Linked DNA regions of Saccharomyces cerevisiae S288C. The protein of the gene in region 2 purifies or fractionates together with the protein of the main gene of each other region. This does not show direct contact. Each region holds a gene or a part of one and is shown on either strand. Other genes may lie near its edges.

Region 1 (3,766 bases), on a different chromosome or scaffold from region 2:
TTTAACCACGTACACACATATTTATTTACAAGGATACCAAACTTGATCTTATTAACGGAGGCTTAAAGTTGGCTCAAGAAATTGTTTTGCTTGATTCGCTGCCTGTTCGCCTTCCTTATGTTCTTTCTTCTCTTTAAGAGAGCCTGTCCCTCTGGGTCCTCAGCCGCATGTTCGACAACGTGATCACTATCCAATACGCTCCATAACCAATTTGGATACTCCTTGTCCTCGAGTGCCACTGCGTCTTTACCGCTCTTCCATATGTTTAAGTTAAGCGATGTTCCCGCAGGACACGACGACACCACTGACTTAACCGTGGGTTTATTATATAAGATACGACTGGTCGATATCAACCTGTAACCCAAACTGCGCGCCAACATCTTCAGTCTTCAGCAGCTATTTCCTTTGCTGTAGATATAACTGCTTTAAGAAGCCTATTAGTTTTTTCACTTTCGAGATTTTTGCGCCAAACAAGGGCGCACAAATACCCGGCATCACGCATTTATTATATGAAGAGAATATTAGAACAGGCATTTCAAAGCATGATTCAATGACTATAACATTGCTATAGAGGGGGTAGTGAAGAATTATCTAATGTACAAATGGTGAAGCAGTATATATGCGACAAAATACTAAAAAAAGTAGTGCAAAAAGAATTACTGCAGAAGTTGGTCTCTGTAGTGTGGTTGGTTATTGACGAACTTGGCACTTCTCTTATCGAGCCTTTTCTTGTCGAACCTCTCAGTTTGCCAAACACGCTGTTGAGTCTGCACGCCCTTTTTGTCGAAGGCAGGTAAGAACGATCTCGTCTCTGCAGCGACCAGGGTACCTTGGCCTTCGGTCAGTATCACCTCGGGCTTTAAGTCTTGCTTGTAGTATCTTTGCAAGGACCTGTGGCCAACTTTGATGCCTGTCGGTAGATGCAGCTCTATACCATCGTTATATAAGTACTCTTGTGGCAGATCTTCGTCGTCGCTTCCGGCTTCGTCGCTGCCCACGTCTTCCCAGTCATCTTCGTTGTCTGGTGTTGTGTTGCTATTAAAGTTTGCGTATGAGCTTGTAAAATCGTAGAATTCAGATATCTCCAACCTTTCATCCTCGCTTTCGTAGGGAATTTTACAGTGTCTCTTTGCCAACATGTGCTGTCTTACAGCGGTCAACGTTCTCCCCTGGTAATTACAAACAATACAAATGTTCCCAAGACCAATCTTCTCCGACATGTATTTTACCAAGCCGATCTTGTCGACTAGATATTTCTGTTCTGGGATATAAAACCCGTGGGTCCTAAACATGTGTTCCAGGTTTTCTTCAACATCTTTGAAGTGCTTATTGTGCTCACAAAATAGACATTGTTCCAGTGGAATATCGACTCTGTTGCGTAGCTTTTCTTGCATTACTCTTTCCGCCATTTCTTCCTCGGTCAACTGTTCAGGCTCCTCCTTCTTAGGTTCTTCCTTTTCCTTGTTCTCCTCATTTTCTTGCAAAGAGAGCTTGCTTAGGTCGGGAGTATTTCCCTCTTGGCTCTTTTGCATGTTTTCAAGCATATTAGCCCTGGCAATTTCCAACAGTTTCTTTTTCTTTTCGAGCAATGCTTGCTTTTCCCTTCTTTTCAACTCCTTTTTGGTAACAGGTTTCTCCTTTTCAGCAGACTTACTAGTACTGGCAGCAGCTGCAGACACTTTGGAGTCAAATGTCTCAAATGATATTGGTGGCAATTGTGCAACACGTCTTTTCAAATTGTAGCGATGCCAATCGGACTTCATGTGGGCCCGCTGCTCGTCGCTTGAATCAAAGGTCAGGACACATGAATTACACGTATAAACACCACTGCTACTCATCGTATTGTTACTGATATGCTCTCTTCTTGACTTCTAATGAGAAGCATCTCATAACCTGTACTAAAAGTGGAAAGAGGAAAATTTTTTTCACCTCATCGCATCGGTACCCATAAGAAAAACTTTCAAAATATAGTAAGAAAAGAGAATAAAAATAGGAAAATATCGCCGTGGTAATAATGTTATAATTAATATTTCGTATATACTTATACATGTACAAATAGCTACACCACTAGGGTTTGTCTTGAAAGAAATAAAGAGAGTCACGGGGAATATCGGGAATGAGAGTGGATGTGCTCTCAGTTGGCCTTCTTGCCGTCATTTTCACGAAACCATTTCCTGATATACCAGGAACAGCCAACCATGTAGAATGGCACGACCAGAATGTTTGATAGGACACCAAAAATCCATTGCAACGGAACAAAGCGGCTTTTCTTTGCGGTGAGCCCAAGGTCCATCCCCATTATCATCCATCCGACAAAATCTGTAAAAACGTCATCATCACCTCTGGCCAGCGACTTGGCAATGATATCACATGCTTGTTTGCATGGGATAGCGTCTGAGGGGCCTTCGATCAACTTTGTAATTTCGGGTTTCGTTAGCTGCTCTACAGTGAAACCTTCGCTTTCAAAATTACCAGGATAAACACAACTGATACGGAAGTTCGTCAGTTCTTGTCTTAAGATTGCTACCAGTGATTTGATTGCAGCTTTTGCAGGCGCATACTGGGAATAGCCCACAAATGGGTAAAGCGCGGTGGCACTAGAAAAGATGATGAGGTGGTGTTCCTTGGTTTGCTCTGCAAGGGCAATCTGATGTGCCACGTTCAAAGTTGTTTTATAGTTGATGTCCATACCCAAGTTCAACTCATGTCCGCTTAGCCCACGAAATAACTTAGGAACAGCCCCCCCTGCACAGCATAACGTTTGTGTAGGGAGTAAATCCAAGTCTCTCAGGGCATTGAACAAACATTCCACGGATTCGTAGCAGGACAAGTCGCATGGGTAGTAAAATAACCGTTGCTCAAGGTCCAAGGGCGCAGCCAACTTATGTTGCACTTGGCCCTCGTCAGTGGTTTCCCTTCTCAGGTGAGCTTCAATCCTAATTTCGTTGCATGTGTCCAGCAGTCTAGCCTCTGACCTACTGACGATAATAATCTTTGTGTTTTCAGCCTCATTATAATATTTTTTGGCGAATTCCTTTCCAAGACCTTGTGAACCACCAGTGATCAACACAACTTGGTCTTCTAACGTAAACTTCATTACCTACAAAAGATTATACCGATAACTTCTTTTCTTGAGGCAATCTTATTTAATCGCTTCCAGTAAATGCAGAGAAACTCCTCTGCATTTTTCATTTTTTTGTTTTTTTTTTGTCGTTTATTGTTTTTTAGCCTTACGTTTCACGTTAAGGAACAATGATAGTAAAATTACTCCAGGAAATACAAGTAGCACAAAATACGGAGGAATACGATATGGAAGCAACCATCAAAGTGGTACTGCTAGGAGATTCATCAGTGGGGAAAACCAGTATAGTGACTAGGCTCAAATCAGGTAAGTTTCTAGCAAAACATGCGGCTACGATAGGTGCGGCGTTCATCACCAAGACAATCGAGGTTCCTTCTAACGACTCCTCTACGGAGAAACGTATCCATATGGAGATATGGGACACGGCGGGTCAGGAACGGTATAAATCACTGGTGCCAATGTATTATCGAGATGCGAATATTGCTTTGATTGTATTCGAATTGGGAGACGTATCCAGTCTGCAATGTGCAAAGACATGGTTTCAAGATTTACAGGACCGTGCTCAGGGAACGCAGGTAATTATCGTGGGCAATAAGTACGATTTAGTCTGCGAAGAGCATTCAGGGGAAGTGACTATACCGGCGGAGTTACAGGGTCTGCCGTATGTGGCCGTAAGTGCAAAGA
Region 2 (3,481 bases):
GAGGAAGTATCAGAGGAGGATGAAATATCATACGATTATGATGCAGAGTTCGATCATGTTGTAGATGAGGATGATAATGAGGAGGGAGAAGTGCCGGGGGAAGGTGTGGAAGGTATAGAAGTTCAGAGAGAGAGAATTGTGCCGGATGACTTATTAATGAGACCCACTTCACTGTCACGCTCCCTACAACAGTTTGTGGAAGAGGCTCATCATTTAGATAGAAACCCATATGATATTGACAGTGATAACGACGGAGAAGATTCAAAGGTAGAACTGGACATGAATCCGGATTTTGAAGATGACGTGGGAAGAGAGCATGATTATAATAGCGAATACAGCCAAGAGCCGACTTCTTATGGTGGGATTACACCTGATCTAGCGAGTAATTGGAGGAATTGGACTAGGGAGAGGATAACTAGTTTAGATGAATTAATGGAGAGACGAGCCAGGCAGCAACGAGGTCAAGATTAGAAAAATGCTCTCCTCAGCACCAAAATTCATCTATCTATTAAGATGTATACATACACAAGTGCACCAAAAGTGCTTAGTGGTAGTTATATTTGCTGATTATATCTAAGTTATCTATTTACTTTCTCGGATTCAAAATTAACCATGTTGGGCAAAGCAGTGGATTGTAAGGGAAATTGATCCACTTTACTAGTTTGCAGGTGGATAGCGGGGATGACCCACTTACCACAACTGCACCTAGATCCTTTCCAGTTGTAACCGCCAACTTTACTTGAACAGCCTGGACATGAAAACTTCCCTTCTAACTCTTGCTTGCCTTGTAGTTCAGGTTGCATCCATTTTAAAGGTTCGATGAAAAAATGAGAGCAATTTGCTTGTGACTCTTGAATATCAATAATACGATGGGAGTTGGCGGCCCTCTTGATGAAGTGTCCCTCTGATGATTCCTTACTTGGTGGGTCATGCGCGATGAAAGATGTAGATAACGCCAATTTGGTTCTGCACTTCTTACATCTCACTGCGGTGACCTTGCTCTTCTCAGCTTCAGTTAATTTATCCAAGTCTTGCGACGACTCCGAATCTTTAAACATTCCAGAATTGGAGACCAATTCGCTGCCCGATGGATCTAACTTGATAGATTGCTTCAGCTTCCACTGCTTATAGGCTGGGTTGTCGAAATCGACAAAATCTCCACCCATTTTCTCAAAGAGATGTAATTGTTCCATGAAATTCTCGTTTGGCTCAACACTCGGTTTCTTCCTCTTGACAGCGTGCATAGCCATTGATAGTGACAATCCATAACGATACATTAGGTAGGCTACTATGAAGGTTACAGATCTCGAGAGTCCTGCTTGACAATGAGCAAAAACAGCACCACGTTGTGGTTTCTTCTTGAAATCTACTAATCTGGGCGAATACTCAACTTCATTGGGGAACAAGCATTGATCAATGAATCGGTTCGTTTCATCGAAGTATTGCAGCACATCAGTCACATCATCATCATCGATGGGTATGTTTTTTAGCGTGTAACCTTTCCTTATTAGATACTCTGGAATGACCTGGAATTTGATAACAGAAAGAATATGAGTAATGTTAAATTCTGCACCCAATGGTCTGTGGTCAATAATTGGACGGATTCCGCCAAGATATATGCCTCCTAATATCCTGGTAACTTCCTCGTCTACTGAGTTTGCATTTCCAGCCATCTTCCCTGTAATTTCTTGCTGCTTTTACTGCTTTCTCTGCGTTATACCTGTATTAGATGCATTCGATGAGCTGAGGTATAATTTTTTTTTTCAGTTAGATTTCTTTTTTTTAGCGCTAAGAAAATTTCAAAATTGCAGCCGTGGAGACCCAGATGGATATATTGTAGATCATTAAAAGTTGTGTCATCTCAAACTAAGAGTGGTTAATATATGTATGTGTGTAAATAACTTTTTATAAATTTGTTTCTTTTATTTCTATAGAATTTCTTTAATAAAAATTTGCAACTTTAGTTTAACGTCTAGAATCAAGCAAAGTTTGACCCAATGGTGTTTTCGAGACTCCGTTGGCATTCGTATATACCACCTGGCCTCTTAATATGGTTTTCAAAACTGTGCCCTTGACCGTCATCCCGTTGTAGGCAGTCAATTTGTTTTTGAAGTAGACACTTGAATTACTTATTTTATGTTTACTTGCAGTATCAAATACCACCAAATCAGCATCGTACCCGGGAGCTATAGTGCCTTTTTGGTGAGATAGTCCTACCTGATGGGATGTATTTTTACAGCACCATGTAACGATATCGACCAAAGAGCAGCCTTGGGTAAACATCAATGGCAAACCTAGTCCGACGGAAGCGATTCCTCCCCAAGAATCGAAAAAGTCACCTTTTTGCAAGTTCTTCAACTCAGGGGTGCATGGCGAATGGTCGCTCACTACTGAGCCTATAACACCTTCACGCAAAGCGTCCCATAGGCCTTGGCGATTAGACTCAGAGCGGATGGGTGGACAACATTTAAAGTAGGTGGCTCCGTCTGGGATCTGCTCTGCAGCAATACACAAATAGTGGAAACAAGTCTCTGTTGTGACTGGTAGCCCTGACGCACGTGCCTTTCTGATCAAGGGAATTGCTTTCATTGATGCCAGATGAACTATATGTACAGGAGGAACTGGTCCATTTCTGGCTCTCAAGCATTCGAGAATCAAATTGATGGCGTCTATTTCGAAAGAATCCGGCCTCGAGGACAAAAACGAAGAATATTCACGATGGCTTTGCTCGGGTTGCTGTTGGTCCTCATGTGCCTTGGGCAACTCAGCATGAAACATCATCATGGTATCCTCCTCGGCTAAGACCTTCAAGGCTTCTTCTATATATTCTTTGCCAATTGGAGGGAATTCTTCCACACCAGAATCAAGCAAGAATCCTTTGAACCCGCGAACGCCAGCTTTGACAAGCGGAATTAAGTCTGGCAAGTTGTGTGGTACCAGTCCACCCCAAAACCCAACATCGCACCACATTTGGCCCTCAGCAGCTTCCAATTTAATTCGGAAATTCTCCACATTTGTTGTGGGAGGAATAGCATTTAGCGGCATATCAACCACCGTTGTGACCCCGCCACTAATAGCAGCTTGAGTTCCAGTTTCGAATCCTTCCCAGCTAGTCCTACCGGGCTCGTTCAAGTGAACATGAGAGTCCACAAGTCCAGGCAGAATTGTACATGGAGATACGTTCTCCAGCGTATGTATTTCATATTTGGTTATCTCAGTTTTCTCCATAACCACGGAGCCTTCTAAAACATCCAGAATCGTGCCTGATTCGGTCGAATACACAATAGTCGCAGGTTTATTTGCACCATTGATAATGACATGGTCGGAAGTGATGGCATTGATAGGCATCTTTGTTCTTCGCAGTATTTCACTTTTTTTTTGCCTATACGTTTTTGCGAAATATACACTTTTCTAACCTAATTAAAGATAGCTAAAAGAAAAAGGGGTACCTTCAATTACAAGATACCAGTAGAAACTCATC
Region 3 (3,975 bases), on a different chromosome or scaffold from region 2:
AGCATTCCAATGCTCTTTGATGTAAAAATAGTTGCTTATCAAGATTCTTAAACTCGTCTAATACATTAAAATTGAAAATACTGCCCTGTAAAGGCACTTCATTAGTACGCTTATTATTGTGTTTTTCAAAGCTTCTATTTGTTAAGAATAATGGAACTTGATCAGCAGATTTAGGAATGTTGTGTAAATCTAGATTCACAGTAAGTGGTTGGCATGTTGAATCTAATTTCAGAACATCGAGTTTCAATCTCGATAATTCTTGGAAAAAAGATGTATCCAGAAATGATTTAAAAGCTGGTGCATAACTTAAGACCCTTTCTGACGACATTTTATTCTTGATTATCTTATATTTGTTGAAATATAATGAACTTTAGTTATCTAAGTAGCATCGTAAAATAATGAGTTCCCTTAATTTTTTTGTTTTGCCGTGCCGGAAAGGGTGTCCAAAGGAATCTCATGGATTAAAAAAGCGGAAGTTTAAAAATCTTGCGTAAGAGCTCTACAAATGAAAAATCTTGCTTGCCTATCTAGTTTTCAACATGTGGTGGCTTGTTCTTCCATAAAGTACATTTTACATCCATATATATGTATATAGATAAACTGAAATGCTAGTGTTTGTTAAGAGTATATACTACTCTCCATTCTTTGGTGTTTTTTTACTGCTGAGATTCAACGGGTGTGTTCTCGACTCCATCTTCTAATGTCATTTCATCTAACTCGTCCAATAATTCATCAATGTTGATTTGTGGAGCGTCTTCATCCTCGTCTTCATCCATTTCATGCTCTTCAGGAGGTACATTTGCTTCGCGGTTTTTGTATAGGTTAACACTTTGTCTTAATTCAGCATCCTCTTCTAATTCTTGTAAGAATAATTCGTAGTCCTTTTCTGCACGTTCCATTTCTTGCTTTTGAGCTCTTGAATTGTAATCTAAGGATGCATCGATATCTTTGTGTTCCTTAGCCATTCTCTTTAACTTCCAGTGTCTGCTCTTTTTGCTCTTTCTTTGATACAATTTCTTCACAAGAACTACATCAGGCACATAATCGATATTTAACCCATCAAAAAGATCTGAGTTGTAATTCGAGTTTGCAATGAAATAACCCATAACACTATCACCTGCATGGCAAATACCACCGAGATGAGACCTGACGTAGTAGACTTGGTCATTAACACCCAAGTCAGACGTTCTAGCAACAGTAATGTCAGCTAAGACACGATTTCCCCTGCTTATACCTGTAGAATCCACGTCCAGAACAATGAACTCCACCAACTGGGTCACATCAGCCAGGGCGTTGAATGGAGCCCTCCAGTACACAGATGGTGACAGATCCGCGGTTTGCAAAGTAGTCGGATCCATAAACTGGACAGTGTTAGAAATCTTAGAACATAGAACAAATTGAGAAATGTTACCCATAGATTTAGCCAGTTTTTTTGGTAAAACGACCAAGTCATCTTTACAGATAGGAACAATCTCGACAGAATATGAAAATTTATAAGTAGATGCACCAGTATGTGTATCTTGAGAAATAAGTTCTTCAGACTTTTTATGTTTAATCGGAACAACAGCGTTCAAAAAATCAATCATCTTAACTGCGTGGTTTTTTTGCGCATAGAAGAAATCCAACCCGTCCTTAGCTTCACTAATGGAAATGGTATCCACATGAGCATTATGTTTCAAAATCAGTTGTTCCAAAAACAAAAATGTTCTCTTGTGAGGCACTTTTTGTCTAATTTGGACAGTAGCCCTCCAAGTATTTGTAGTGTAGGATCTGGCACAGTCTGGACATTGCATCGCAATAACAATGTATTCTACTTCGAAAGTTTGCTGAATAATAGTATTTGTCATGGCTTCTCCCTGCACGGTAAGTTTAATTCTAATACGTCTAGAATGGGGTTCTGTCCAAATGAATGAAGCATCCACTAATCTGACTTTTGTTAGGCCCTTCAAACGACGCAAACAAATGGCCAGTAATTCTCTAGATTCTAATTCTGCTCTGATCCATTGTCCAGGTGGTTGCAAAAATCTTTCACAGTTTCTGCAAAATGAAATGTTCGCTTCTCTTGGAATACCTTGAGTAATGTCCACAGTCAGTTTGATACAGTCATAACACATAACCAGCCCAGTGGACCCATCGATTGGGGTACCACAGTTACAACATAGAAGAGTAGCAGCATTTTGGTGCTGGTGCGGATCTATAGGTGTGAATTCCATCCTTTTGTCAAATTCCTCAACGTTTATTAGACAATAAAATGTAGTGTTATGTACCAGGCGACAAATAAAAGATAAAGCCAAGGTTCCTCAAAACATAGTTAAATCATCACAACTGCTAGTAATTTTTCTTTTCCAATGCGATGAGCTTCAAAAAATTTTCCAACTACAAGAGAAAAAGAAAAAAAAATAAGTTACCCGTCGGTGATTGTACGTAATTGAATTTACAGCGATTTTCTCACCCGTTATATAGAAACATACTTCATATGTGCCAAAATTGTATCTATCAGTTGTCCTGGAAAACAGTATCCAGATTGTACGATATGTACGTCTTTAAATCTTATTTAGAATTTTTCAAGAGCGCAAACTTTTCCCGTCATTTTGCTTCTTCTTTTGCTGTCTTTTTCTCTCACCGAAGTTTTCCTTTTGCATTGCCATCAGCGATTCCCTCTTCGCCTTGGTTACCTTGGTCAAGGCTTTTCTTATTACAGCGGTATCGTGTACCTTGTTTGTCTCTGTCATCTTCTTGTTGATACGGTCCTCAATGGCCTGTATCCTAGAAACATCTCGCTGGGTAACGAATGATATGGCGTCACCAATTCTGCCAGCACGGGCCGTACGACCAGATCTATGGATGAATACATCTGGGTCTGAAGGTATATCGTAATTCACTACAAGCTCAACAGTTGGGATATCCAAACCTCTGGATGCTACATCTGTAGCGATGAGGATTCTTGCAGCGTTAGCTCGAAATCTATGTAAGGAATTTGTTCTTTCCTGTTGGGGCATTTGAGAGTGCAACGACGCTACCCTCACTTCCAACTGCTTCAGGGTTCTTCTAAGGATCTCCGCGGTCATTGTTCTATTTACAAATATTATAGCGGTTTTATTCTCATATTCCTCGCATGTTAATAATTGGTACAAATATGCTTCTTTGACGTGTTCTGGAACCAAGATATACTCTATTTTCAACGTCGATGGAATAGCCACATTATCTACACTTTCTACTTGGTAAGCGAACAATGGGGGTTTCCCTTTCTGCACTGGTGCATTTTGTAACGACTTTACTTGGTCCGTTATAGTTGCAGTGAATAGAAGTGTTTGTCTCTTATCCTTGGGAGGTAGAGCACTTATACATGTTGCTAAATGATCGGCAAACGTGCTAGTTAGCAAAATATCGGCTTCATCTAGAACTAAATATTTAGCTCTCATTAGCCCTCCAACGGTATCATCTCCGCTGCTCATGATATGATGTGCCAGACGTCCAGGCGTGGCAATAATAAAGTGCGGCTTCCTTTGTAAATCCAATGCCTGCTGAACGATGCTTTCACCACCAACTATAACTGACACGCGAATGTTCATACTGCTACCAAGTGCAGTAAATTGTTCGGCAATTTGCATGGCTAACTCTCTGGTTGGGGTCAAGACCACTCCAAACATCCCTGACGGATCTTCGGACCATTTAGTCAGCATAGGCCCTGCAAATGCAATAGTTTTACCAGAACCAGTCTTGGCACCACCAATACAATCTCTTCCTTCTAAGATTTTGGGAATACAAGCCTTTTGGATAGCGGTTGGCTGAGTAATTTTCATAGCTCTTAAGGATTCCGTAAGCCATTTTGAAAGACCTAAAGATTTAAAGTCTGCCATCTTGAAAAGTTTCTGATATGATGCTACGGAGATCTAAAGCGTCTGTATTATACGACTGATAATATTCCTATACAATTATTTATTCAAAAACTAAGTAAATTGCCAGTTTATATTT

What was found.
Region 1: the proteins of YVH1 (region 2) and REI1 purify together in Saccharomyces cerevisiae (affinity purification with western blotting; 2 studies listed by BioGRID, with this or other methods). This does not show direct contact.
Region 3: the proteins of YVH1 (region 2) and NMD3 purify together in Saccharomyces cerevisiae (affinity purification with western blotting; 7 studies listed by BioGRID, with this or other methods). This does not show direct contact.

What each region holds. Positions count from the first base shown.
Region 1 is NC_001134.8:737,913-741,678, reverse strand, and holds REI1 (Rei1p), read right to left. Parts: upstream 1,839-3,766; coding exon 657-1,838; downstream 1-656. Other genes in the region: mitochondrial 54S ribosomal protein mL54 MRPL37, read right to left, coding at 63-380; SLM6 (Slm6p), read left to right, coding at 1,291-1,743; TSC10 (3-dehydrosphinganine reductase), read right to left, coding at 2,135-3,097; Rab family GTPase YPT10, read left to right, coding at 3,310-3,766. UniProt on the Saccharomyces cerevisiae protein: Pre-60S-associated factor involved in the cytoplasmic maturation of the 60S subunit. Involved in the dissociation and recycling of other late pre-60S factors like ARX1, TIF6 and ALB1 before newly synthesized large ribosomal subunits enter translation.
Region 2 is NC_001141.2:404,295-407,775, forward strand, and holds YVH1 (tyrosine protein phosphatase YVH1), read right to left. Parts: upstream 1,674-3,481; coding exon 579-1,673; downstream 1-578. Other genes in the region: MND2 (Mnd2p), read left to right, coding at 1-471; DAL1 (allantoinase), read right to left, coding at 1,966-3,348. UniProt on the Saccharomyces cerevisiae protein: May be directly involved in signal transduction and/or cell cycle regulation. It is necessary for maintaining growth rate or spore germination. Could show both activity toward tyrosine-protein phosphate as well as with serine-protein phosphate.
Region 3 is NC_001140.6:442,066-446,040, reverse strand, and holds NMD3 (ribosome-binding protein NMD3), read right to left. Parts: upstream 2,214-3,975; coding exon 657-2,213; downstream 1-656. Other genes in the region: ATG7 (Atg7p), read right to left, coding at 1-328; ATP-dependent RNA helicase DBP8, read right to left, coding at 2,565-3,860. UniProt on the Saccharomyces cerevisiae protein: Acts as an adapter for the XPO1/CRM1-mediated export of the 60S ribosomal subunit. Unlikely to play a significant role in nonsense-mediated mRNA decay (NMD).